Linked DNA regions of Arabidopsis thaliana. The protein of the gene in region 2 interacts with the protein of the main gene of each other region in a pairwise test. Each region holds a gene or a part of one and is shown on either strand. Other genes may lie near its edges. The genes, in order: BBX31, MNP and WRKY43.

Region 1 (3,690 bases), about 11 Mb from region 2:
GAGAACTAAATAAAGTTGGTGGAAAGCCAAAATGGTGAAAATTATTTAGTAACTTCTTTTATTTACAGAATCTCTTTTGTTTTTGATTATTTTTAAGTTGGGTTTTTCCTTTTATAGGACAAATCCTAATTTATCTCTTTATAAATAAATTTCCTAGCTGTTTTTTTTTTTATTAATAATAAAGTAGCAGTGATTACAATCTGCTCCATTACAGAGCTCGCGTTTAACGTGTTTCAAGAGAACAATTCTCTACTTATTAAGCATTGCATTATGAAGATGTTTCACTTGCAAAAAGTTTAGTTATTACCCCACTGGTTTAGAACCAATTGGTTCTTAGTTTTGAATCTTAACCTTATTTTAAATTAAAATGTTGTTTTTACTAAGTTAAGAAAAGTTAGGAGGAAGTTTAACTAATTTCTATTTCAATGGTTAAGAACTATTGGATTCTTAAAAAACAACAATTCAAAAATGTCTATCCACTCAAAATACAACACATATACTCTTCTTAGTTTTAAGAAAACATCTTAATTAAGATGTTTATCTTAGCTAAGGTTTGTTGTTTCATTAAATTTAATCACTTTTATTGCTAAGAATACAAGGCTGGAGTTGCTTTTATGTACCTTTAAATTAAGGAAAATGACAAGTCCAAAGAAGTAGTGAGAAAGATTTACTACACTAAAATAAATATCTAACAAAATACCAAACAGAGAGTTTGGTGAGTTAATTTTTTTTTACAGCAGTTTTATGGAACTTTTTGTTTGTTGGTTACAAACATTGCTTAGTAGAAAAAAGCAAAAGATTCGAAGAATAACTCAATAACAACAAACGATCCTTGTTTCTTCCCTTTCTATTGCAGATATTTTTTGCTATTTTTAGTCACTACCCATTTCTTAAAATTCTTTTTTTTTTTTCATTACACATTTCTTAAAATTCTAAGCTTCATAAAATTAAAATTTTCAGATTTTTCTTAAAAGAAAATTGCATAAAAACCCTAGAATATTTATAGCTTACACCAAAAAAATCTAATAATCAGAGAAAAACAAACGGAACCTCATGATTATCTTGTTCACTTCTATTCTCCACGGTGGTTTCTCCGACCGTCGTCACCGACGGTAAAACAACGTGGAAGTCATGATCTCCGACGAGGCACCGGCGCGTGAGTTTCTGACAAGAAGTGCATAGCACGCGCCTTACGTGTCTCCAAGCTAGAAAATTCGCTCCATGAACCCACCGGTCACATTTTCTACAGAGGAACGCCGAGTCCGCTTCACAGAACACGGAGGCGTCTCCGTCGCAAAGCTCACACCTTACCGGAACACTCGGTCTCGTGCAGAGACTCCGGCAACCTCCTCCGTCACTTCTTCTGCTCTCTTCATTATTCAAGCCTCTACACATTTTTCTCAATCTCTTTCTTGATCTGTTTCACTTTCTCTTTCTTCTGGGTGATATTGAGGAAAGAAGATTTGGGAATAGGAGAAACGTTTATACATTTATATAGGAATCTTATTTCTTTAAAACTAATGATGTGTTTGTGTTGTGTTGTTGTTGGACACGTGGATGAATCTTGCCCTGTTATTTTGACGTAAATGCCCTTATGAGGGCAAAATCGTTAATTTCAAAATTAAAAACGCTTCTCCTCCAAGCGATCTCTCGACCTCATATTGGACGCACAACTTTAAAATTTTCGAAACAAACTCCGTTTTTTTTTTTTTGCAAATCGAAACAAACCTCTAGTACGACTTCTTTTGGTTTATATCACCCACCACTTCAATGTGAATCATTGTTTTTTTTGTTTTTTGTACGATATGATGTTATATGTATCTTATTGTAATGTGATTACGGTGTACGATAAACCAAACTATTGAGAATTTAAAATTTTAATAGATGCACCGAAAGGTTAACAAACAATCGATTCTATAAACAAATATGAATGATTGCGAATTTAGTTAATTACGATGGAGTTTCCTTGTCCAAAGCGAAAACATATATAGTCGTGTAGTTTATCTCTTTTTTTCCAAGGTATAAATTTTGAGACATTTACATGATATTTAAGGTTCTAGAACTAGTTGGATAAAAAAAACCGGCATATATTATCATTCGTTTCTTAGCACACCTTCATTTTCCTATTGAAATTTGTGACAGAATTTTCTAAAATAATTAAGGGATTGTTTAGAGAAAAAAATTAAAGATACTACAAGTGATTAGTGGAGGATAGGGGGTACGCATAAGAAACGGCTAGAATTTAGGGTGATATCAAGTATCGTTGTTATTGGTTGTCTTTGGGACATTGTGTGGTTGTTAGTCAGTCAACTCTTAATTAATTATATAAGCTTACTATCAGAACAAGCAAAGAGGACTTCACTTGTATGGTTCACATTTAAAGATTTTTTTTTGGGTTGATTTATTAGTCATTTATTTGTTTAATATTAGTGAAAGCTACCCCACGAATTACGAATAATATCAGTTAATTAAAAAGGTTTGATTATTTTGAATTGCTATACATTGCGTGTGATTGCTTAGTAGTACGTATATAAGTAATCGAAAAGCATTTTAATGTCACAATATTCGATTTTGTAGTTAGCATCACATTATTCGTAAACAGTGTTTGTAAAATAGTGAATTCATTTAGTAAGTGTCTTAATCTATTGTTAAAGCAACCTAATAAGATTAATTACATACTACAGTTCGGACGAAATAAAATAAAGTAATTAGCAAAATATGTTATTGAATCTCTTTAACCAAAATTATAATATAGTTATTCGTTGTTGCTAAAATATATCGTATCGGTTAAAACATAGCAGCACATCATATCTATCGCCATCGTTTAGACATGTAATGATCGGAGTCATACATTTCGTTAACTTAAATTCTACTAATAGTACAAAATTTACGTGAAGATAGAGATAATTATAAAGCATTAAATGATCAAAAATATCTTCAATGATGTTATTAGATTTTTTAACTGCATATATATGTTTAATATTGAAGATTAATTAGACCAAATTAAAACCTTGACATTATGTAATATATAATTTGAGTAGGTATTTTCCATTTTGGACGTTCAACTAGAGTTGTTGTTCTTTATGCCTCCAATCTTGCTTCGATTCGGATATAATGCAGAAAGTTATACTGAATCAAAGGTAGGTTACAAATATGTTTATGTGAAGAAAAAAATTTCAGTTTTTGAAAGAAATATAAAAGCTTGAGAAATAGAAAGACTAGAGTATATATGTACATCTCATTATATAATCGGTACATAACCAACTGGTTTCTGTTAAACCACAACCTGTAACACTCTGTCTCTAATACAAGTAAGATCGGGTATTGGCGGACTCTACTCAGAATAGAAAATACACATATTGTCTTATACCATTTTATGAAGACTATATATCTAACTTTTTACATACACAAAGTATATATATAACAAAAAAAAAACCCACGACATTTCTCTACAAAATTTAAGATAAAGTAGTGGGTCGTATGGATTATTGACTGATCAAAAATACGCACACTTATTAGACGGACTGAAATAATAATGAGACGAAAATATTATTATATTTGTATGTTTGATACGTTATGGAAAAAAAAAGTGATGTTGTTGTTGTCCACAAGTTGATTCAGTGTTGATGCATAAGTCCACTTGTGTGGATCATATTGGTTCAAAAATCCAAAAGCTTTTTATTTTCTAAT
Region 2 (4,275 bases):
CAAGAAGAGAGGAGTGAGTAAAGGACAAAACGACGGTCAAAATATAAAGGAGGAAGAAGCAGAGCATAATACGACAAATATATGTTCATTAAATCACTACAATGCTCTCTGATCCAAAACTGAAAACACAACAGTACCAAAACCCACATTGGTACGATCAGAATCTAATCTCTCCCCAATTCGACGATCAGATTTCAATCTTCACTACCAAACACCCTAATTTTTATTTTATTTTCTCTATTTTTTATTAACCAATAGTAAGAATATTATTATTATTAAAGTCTCAGTTGTGAAATTCAGGGACTCAGGTGGAACTGAAACTTCTCCGTTCAACTCTAAACTATATACATTAAAAGAGTTATATCCTATGTCTATATTTTTGGTCTGTGTGTTTTCTCTTATGCACATCTTTCATTTTTTGTTTTTCTTTCTAATGTTTTGATTACATCTGTAATGTTTTATGACGATCACTGTGTAATCAATAGAAGAATCTAACTATAGTGTTTATTTTATAGACTAGAGAAGAGAAGATTTCCATAAAAAGAAGGTTATATTTTTAAAATAAATATTAGAAAATGATTTTAAAAATTGACCAGAACGGTACTTTATAGATAAACCATAAGTTAGACCGTCACTATCAATAAACATCAACATCGTCTCTCGATATACACTTCTATTTTTTTCAGAAATATTTTCTTGGTTTTTTTTTAATTAGACATAATTAAACCACATGGAAATTTTAAGAGAATCTAACGTCGTTTTCTATTCTCCTTTCATCTGGTAAAGTCATGGACAAGACTTGCCCTATCCGCTACATTAAGCCTCCAAGAAAGGAACGGAACACCGCCGTGAGCACCGTCGGATTCAACGTTGTTTGCTACTCCACTGCCGTAATCATCCATGAACCTGATCTCATTTGCCGGATAATTACACGGAACCCTCTGCGTCGAGTGGTGATGAGCCCACGGAGTACCATTATTATTGTTGTTATTAGTGGCAGCATGGTAATTATTGTAGCCAGAGTTGTGATGCCCGTACTGGTCGGTTTGAACCGGTGCAGCTCCGACGACGGTGTTTCCTGTAGCCGCAGTAGTTCTTCTCTCTTCCTTCTTGAAACGAATGCCGCATGCGTTGCATAGGGACTGCAAATTCCAAAACCATCCATATCATCATTAGCCATCAATATATCTTATATTTAATGTTCGTTCAATACATAAATCTCTATATAGTGATGAAAATATTCGAAAAGAAAATAAATTAATGTCTTTTATTGAAATATCTGTTTTAAAACTTATATTCAAGTAAATTTACTGAACCATCAAAATCATTATTTAATGTTTCTTTCAATAAATTAAACTATAGAGAAAGGGATTTATTGGTTTTAGTGAAAAAACAGATAGGCAAATATTCAAAACAAAGGGATGAACTGTCTTTTTGGTTATTGTAAATCTTCATTTCATGTGTTGATTAAAAGAAGTTGCATTTTAATAAAAATTAAAATAAATAAGTCACCTTAGGGCCTCTAGGACCATTCCTCCATAGTGGAGTAGAAGTAGTGTCACAGTTGGCACAGCGTCTAGCGAGAAGAGAGTCACCTCCGCCACCGCCTCCTCCGCCACCACCACCACCGGAACAACCGCGACTTGGCTTGTTAGCGGAGAAAGAAGGAACGTTATTGTACGGTGCCGTTTTGGAGTTGTTGTTTTTGGTGTGAATCAAGTCCCAAAAGTTGGAGATGCAAGAAGAAGCACCAGATGAAGTAGAGCGTCTACGTTTCTCATCTTCCTCACAAAGCCTCGTAGAAGGAGTTCCAAGAGAGAGAGTGCAGTCAACGAGGGAGGAAGAGTGATGATAGTCCTCACCGTTCTGCTCGAAAACGCCACCGTTTTGCATGGAGAAGACCATCGAGTAAGAACCGGCGTTGGAGTTGTTGTTGTTGTTGTAGCAGCAGCTTTGGCTATGGTGGTGGAACATTCCACAAGAATGACAATATTGCCCCTGCGTTGAAGTAGTGTACGGAGTCTGCATCATCGCTCTTACACACTTCTCTCTCTCTCTACTGGTTTGAAAACCCTAAGTGTAAAATTAAGAGAAGCTAAAGAAAATATGAAGAGATAAGTTCAGTTTGCAGGTTTCACGTTGGAGTGAAGTGTAGAATGGAGAAGAAGGTCTCACACCTATATATAGAATCAGAAATGTATATGTACGCTTATATGCAGGTTTATATTAATACGAATAGTATTTAAAATCAATAGAATATGTGGGGACGCAGCTTTTTACGAAGTAATATTAATATATCATTTACTCAAATGGGTTTTCCTTGCTTTTTTATGTTTTATTAATTACAAAATACGATGAACGATGATACAGTATCAAGTTTCTTTAGGCAGCCAAGTTAACAAGTTAAAAGATATTTTAATCACAGTTTATTTTTTCTAATTACATAACACATGCTTGGTCTACATAGAGTCTGTGTCACTGTGTGATTGTTTTGAATAATTCAACTAAAATATCCCTATTTCAAGTACGTTATGGAGTTGATTAGCTTTTAGATAAGGATGCTAATATATGAAAATGTACCGTACATTATGAAAATGTCAGTAGTAAATAAAACAAAATATGATGGGAAGTAAAATAACAAAAAGTCGAAACTATGTAGAAAAACTGATCTTGGTTTAAAAAGCGAAGGGTTTGCTAGTTGTTGGACACAAAACTTTCAATCTAAAGATGAATAGGCTCGGTAACATATGCTAAAACAAAATCATTCATTGCTAGCTTCCAAATATCATAGATTGAAGTTTGGTTTAAGTAGATATGGTAAATCTTATTGTGATGGTGAAAAACATACGACTTTTGGACCATCAAGCACACAACTCTTATTAATTCGTTATTTCTTTTTGAAGCAATTATTATGTCACTCACACACGAATGTTTACTTTACTAGAACTATGATATTGTATGAAAAAATTGAAATTATCGATTTTGTGGAGGAAATTTAACAGAAAATAAAAAACGTAGAAGAAGAAGAAGGAGAGAGTGTGATGCGATGTTGATGGTCATTGAAGAAGGGTGGTCAAAATTTAGCCCACGTGACAAGGGGGAGAGAAGAGGAAGAAGAGTACAGTCATCACTGCAAAAATCTCCGATCACGAGGCTCATATTTTTATTTTTATTTGTTCTCTTTCAATATAATGCTATAAAACCTCTGTCTCTTTCCGTATCTCTGCCCTAAAACCCTGAATCTCACGCGCTCCTGCTCAGTTGCGCGTGGCCTCGTCCTTTACTTCTCCACATCGCAATCACACGTTCGATATCTGCTCAGCCTCATGTGGTTAATGATGATCCATGATGATGTAAGTAAAATGACTTAGATTTGGTTATTAGATTTCTTCAAAACTTGCAGCTAGCTAGAGTCTACTCTACTCTTGTCGTCAACGAATACTAGTCTTCGTCCCTATACAGAATTATTTTATTTTTTTGGGATTACGTATGTTAAATGCTTTAACTACTGTTACTAATAAAACCCTATTTTTATTGAAAACATGGACTCTCGATTGGTTGAAAAAGAGCTTACGCTAGGGGATATAATGCATTGGCCGATCTAATTTTTTTTTTTGCCGAACACTATTTTTTGAAAATTTTGTAATCAAACAAATAAAAGAAAGAAAGTGTATATTCAAAAAAAAAAAAAATTAAAAGAAAACTGTTGAAATAGTATATGTTTGTACGTTATAAAAACCGATCAAGAAAAAGATGACGGTTGTCCAAAAAAAAAAGGACCAAGATGCTGAAATCACAATTCATGTACTGATAACTAACACTTCACAGGGACGCGGTTAACCGAGTGCTTTGATATCTTGTAGTTGTAGATAATGTCTTGTTTTTCTATATCATTCTCTCCAATTTACTTAAATGCATATTGGGCATGTGATCAAGATGATTAGTTGCTCTTTTGTTTTCTTCTGTATAGGTCTCGTTCCAATTTCATCGGATGTTCCGATGGAACGATTAATTACTCTTCTATTGATGTTTATATCGGCTATTTGGACTAACAACCTATTTTATGGCAAATTTAAAAACATAAGAGAGTTGCTATATCAACACTAACCTTAGTTGACTCACATATCTTTTTCTAGTTCGCATTATTAGTCTCCCTACATAACCAACAATCTACAATGAGAATATCAACGCGATATTGATGTGTCAACCTTATATTTCATTAACACACAAAAAGCATTTTCTTGATTGCCATTTGTTCGAAAACATATATTTCTT
Region 3 (3,166 bases), on a different chromosome or scaffold from region 2:
CATCCAGCTTCTTGTAAAGCCATTGCAGTCTCAACAACTTTAACAGCACTAGCTATGTTTCTGCCTTGGGGTCTGAAACCACCAAGAACGCTAATCGCCTGAGGGGTTAGACCCACATGACCAATAACCGCAATTCCTGCTTCAACTATAGCTTTTGCAGCAGTGATCCTAGAAGCTGATCCTCCTTCGAGCTTAATCGCATCCATTCCTCCTTCCTTCAAAACCCTAACCGCAGTATCAACCGCCTGAAGCCAACATTTAAACCCAAAATCAGGTCCCTAATTTGTTTCATTGACACAAAATCTTGTAAAGAATCTACTTTGCATAAGCAAGTACTAAAGCTAAATCTGTGATTACACAGGCAATGACACATTGACACATAATGTATCATTTAAGACTTTTTTTATCAAGAATCCAATCACCTAAACATTTGATCAGGAAATGAATTGAACATTGTAAGTCCCACTGAGTGTTGTGATTAATTCAGGTATTGAAATTGCAATCAAGAATCTAATTACCTACACAAAAATTAAGCAGAAGAACATGCCTTATCAACAAATATGTTTAATTTAGGTATCTAGAAGAAAAAAAGATTCAATTTTATAACATTACCTGACTAGAGCTTGACTCGTAGGTACCAAATGGCAAGTCACCAACTAGGAGAGGTCGTTTAGCGCCTCGAGCAACGGCACGACAATGAACAAGCATCTCGTCTAAGGAGATAGGAAGTGTTGTGTCGTGACCATGAACAACCATGGAAGCTGAGTCACCGACAAGACAAACATCGATACCAGCTGTGTCTAAATGAACGGCGGATGGGTAATCGTAGGCAGTTACGACGGTGATCGGTTCTCCTCTCCGGTGTTTTTGTCTGAGATGCGTTAGCGTCACTCTTTGGTTTGGGTTTTGTGGCTTTGGTCCTCCGTAGACGGTGTTTTCCGGTAGGTTACTCATGAAACGGACAGAGATGGCTTTTGAGAAGCGAGAGCAATTCCTAGTGAGTGAGGACGCCATTGTTGTGAAGATGAAGAAACCCTCTTATCTGTGACTGTGTCTGTGTTTACAAGAACAAGGAATTTTACTTTTAAGAAGATTCAATTCCTAGTGAGTGAGGACGCTGTTTAGATTCTGGCAAGTGGCGATTCAGTTCTGGGTTTCACACACAAATCAAGCATAGCAATGACACTGTTAGGAATTGTGATAGCTTAACTATAAATTCAATATTTTAACGAAATCAACAAGATCCGTTGTAGTCTAGCTGGTCAGGATACTCGGCTCTCACCCGAGAGACCCGGGTTCGAGTCCCGGCAACGGAGATAGTTTTAAAATATCTTTACTATATTAAACCGGATTTTGGTTCAGTCTGGTTATGTTAACCCAGTCTCTGTTTCTCTCTAGGCTCTAGCCTAACCCAGTCTCTGTTTCGATCTTATTGAACTTCTGTTCCAAAGGCGATTCCTTTTTTATTTTTCCGTTTCTGGGTTTAGATAGAGAAATGTAGAGATTGAGATCGCGGTTACTAGTTGGAACTCTCTTGGAGTTGGAGAGCATCCGAGGGTTCTGCACGAGCTCCTTTAAGATCGTAGCTTCGGTTCTTTTTTATGAGATTGCGCATTGTGATACCAAAACCGGATTCTACTGTTTACAGTTTCCAGGAGTTCAAGTAAAGACCAAACCATGTCTCTGTTTTTTAAGTCACACACGTGTGAGATGACGTGAAGGAATTTTTTGTTGTTGTTGGTCTGAAGTAGTTGAATGTAGTTGGCTTCTAAACCTTTTTATATATCTCTTCAATATAAATCACACGAAGAATTCTAACACACAATTCGTTGATTCATCATATCTCCTCTTCATTAATGAATGGCCTCGTCGACTCTTCTCGAGATAAGAAGATGAAAAATCCGCGATTTTCGTTTCGCACAAAGAGTGATGCAGATATTCTCGATGATGGTTATCGATGGAGAAAGTACGGTCAGAAATCCGTCAAGAACAGCTTGTATCCCAGGTAAACTTTTTAACATAAATAATCTGAAATTGTTTTTAAAAAGATTGTTTTTTTGTGTGTTTCTTCTCACTTATGATCATCAAAAGGAGCTATTATAGATGCACACAACACATGTGTAACGTGAAGAAGCAAGTTCAGAGGCTGTCGAAGGAGACGAGCATTGTGGAGACAACTTATGAAGGAATCCATAACCATCCTTGTGAGGAGCTCATGCAAACCCTAACTCCTCTTCTTCATCAATTGCAGTTCCTCTCTAAGTTCACCTAATTATGTTTGTATATATATTAACGTTCTAAGAGCATCTCCAATGGAAGTATCTCAATGAGATACCTAACAAAAGAAAAAAAATTAAAAAAAAAATATGAGAGAAGGGAGAAAAAGTAGGAGAGAAGGAGAGTTAAATTTCTCGGATGATTGGACAGGTGTAATCACACTATTAGTTCAACTATTAAATAATAATTAATGTATCTGTTTTGATTAAAATATTAATTAATATGTTTTTGAGAAACTTTCTTTATTTTTACTGGTGGAGATGGTCTAATGTTCCATGGTTCATATAACGGAGCAAATTAAAGCATTGTAATCATATATGTTTGCATGTTCATAGTTGCAATCTCGTTTTGATTATAAATCAGTTTTAAGCATATAACCAAAATAAAAAAACAAATCAATTGTAATATTCCGGTAAAACGATTACCACGTGATGATTATAGAGAGGCATAGAGCAATATCGTCTGGTAAACTGAATAAAACCGGATTTGGTTTCCATAGATTTTTCTCAAGCCAAATCAGTTTCCTTTCGTTTGAATAAACCTATTGGCTTATCGTGAGTGATTATTGTTTTGTTTATTTACACGATGAACAATGTCAATGAGACATGTCACATGTACGAAGTCAGTTCCGATATATTACATGAATTGCTTTCAAGTTTTGATCAGCATCCTTAAATAGTCACCGAAAATAAGAAGCGAACAAGTCTTGGCGAAGTTGAAGCCACAAAGTGTACTAATAAATATGGATTGCCGAATTAAAAGAAGAAACAAAAAAACTACATTTTCATATTTTTTTTCTTCTTCCATATATAAATCCACTTTTCAACTTAAGCAAATGCAATCAATGGGAAGGTAAGTATGTATACCTCTAAATCTCAAATAATCTTTA

What was found.
Region 1: the proteins of MNP (region 2) and BBX31 interact in a two-hybrid assay, tested with the Arabidopsis thaliana proteins (one large-scale study listed by BioGRID).
Region 3: the proteins of MNP (region 2) and WRKY43 interact in a two-hybrid assay, tested with the Arabidopsis thaliana proteins (one large-scale study listed by BioGRID).

Annotation. Positions count from the first base shown.
Region 1 is NC_003074.8:7,708,269-7,711,958, forward strand, and holds BBX31 (B-box type zinc finger family protein), read right to left. Parts: upstream 1,666-3,690; 5' UTR 1,396-1,665; coding exon 1,030-1,395; 3' UTR 565-1,029; downstream 1-564. UniProt on the Arabidopsis thaliana protein: Developmental regulator acting by forming heterodimeric complexes, that sequester CO and CO-like (COL) proteins into non-functional complexes. Involved in the CO-mediated long-day flowering-promotion pathway.
Region 2 is NC_003074.8:18,908,868-18,913,142, reverse strand, and holds MNP (GATA type zinc finger transcription factor family protein), read right to left. Parts: upstream 2,197-4,275; 5' UTR 2,032-2,196; coding exon 1,513-2,031; intron 1,143-1,512; coding exon 774-1,142; 3' UTR 535-773; downstream 1-534. UniProt on the Arabidopsis thaliana protein: Transcriptional factor that specifically binds 5'-GATA-3' or 5'-GAT-3' motifs within gene promoters (including its own promoter and GATA21 promoter), thus regulating the expression of genes mostly involved in hormone responses and floral organ specification (including genes regulating hormones responses).
Region 3 is NC_003071.7:18,955,398-18,958,563, forward strand, and holds WRKY43 (WRKY DNA-binding protein 43), read left to right. Parts: upstream 1-1,814; 5' UTR 1,815-1,856; coding exon 1,857-2,005; intron 2,006-2,091; coding exon 2,092-2,272; 3' UTR 2,273-2,528; downstream 2,529-3,166. Other genes in the region: KPHMT1 (ketopantoate hydroxymethyltransferase 1), read right to left, coding at 1-245, 613-1,014. UniProt on the Arabidopsis thaliana protein: Transcription factor. Interacts specifically with the W box (5'-(T)TGAC[CT]-3'), a frequently occurring elicitor-responsive cis-acting element.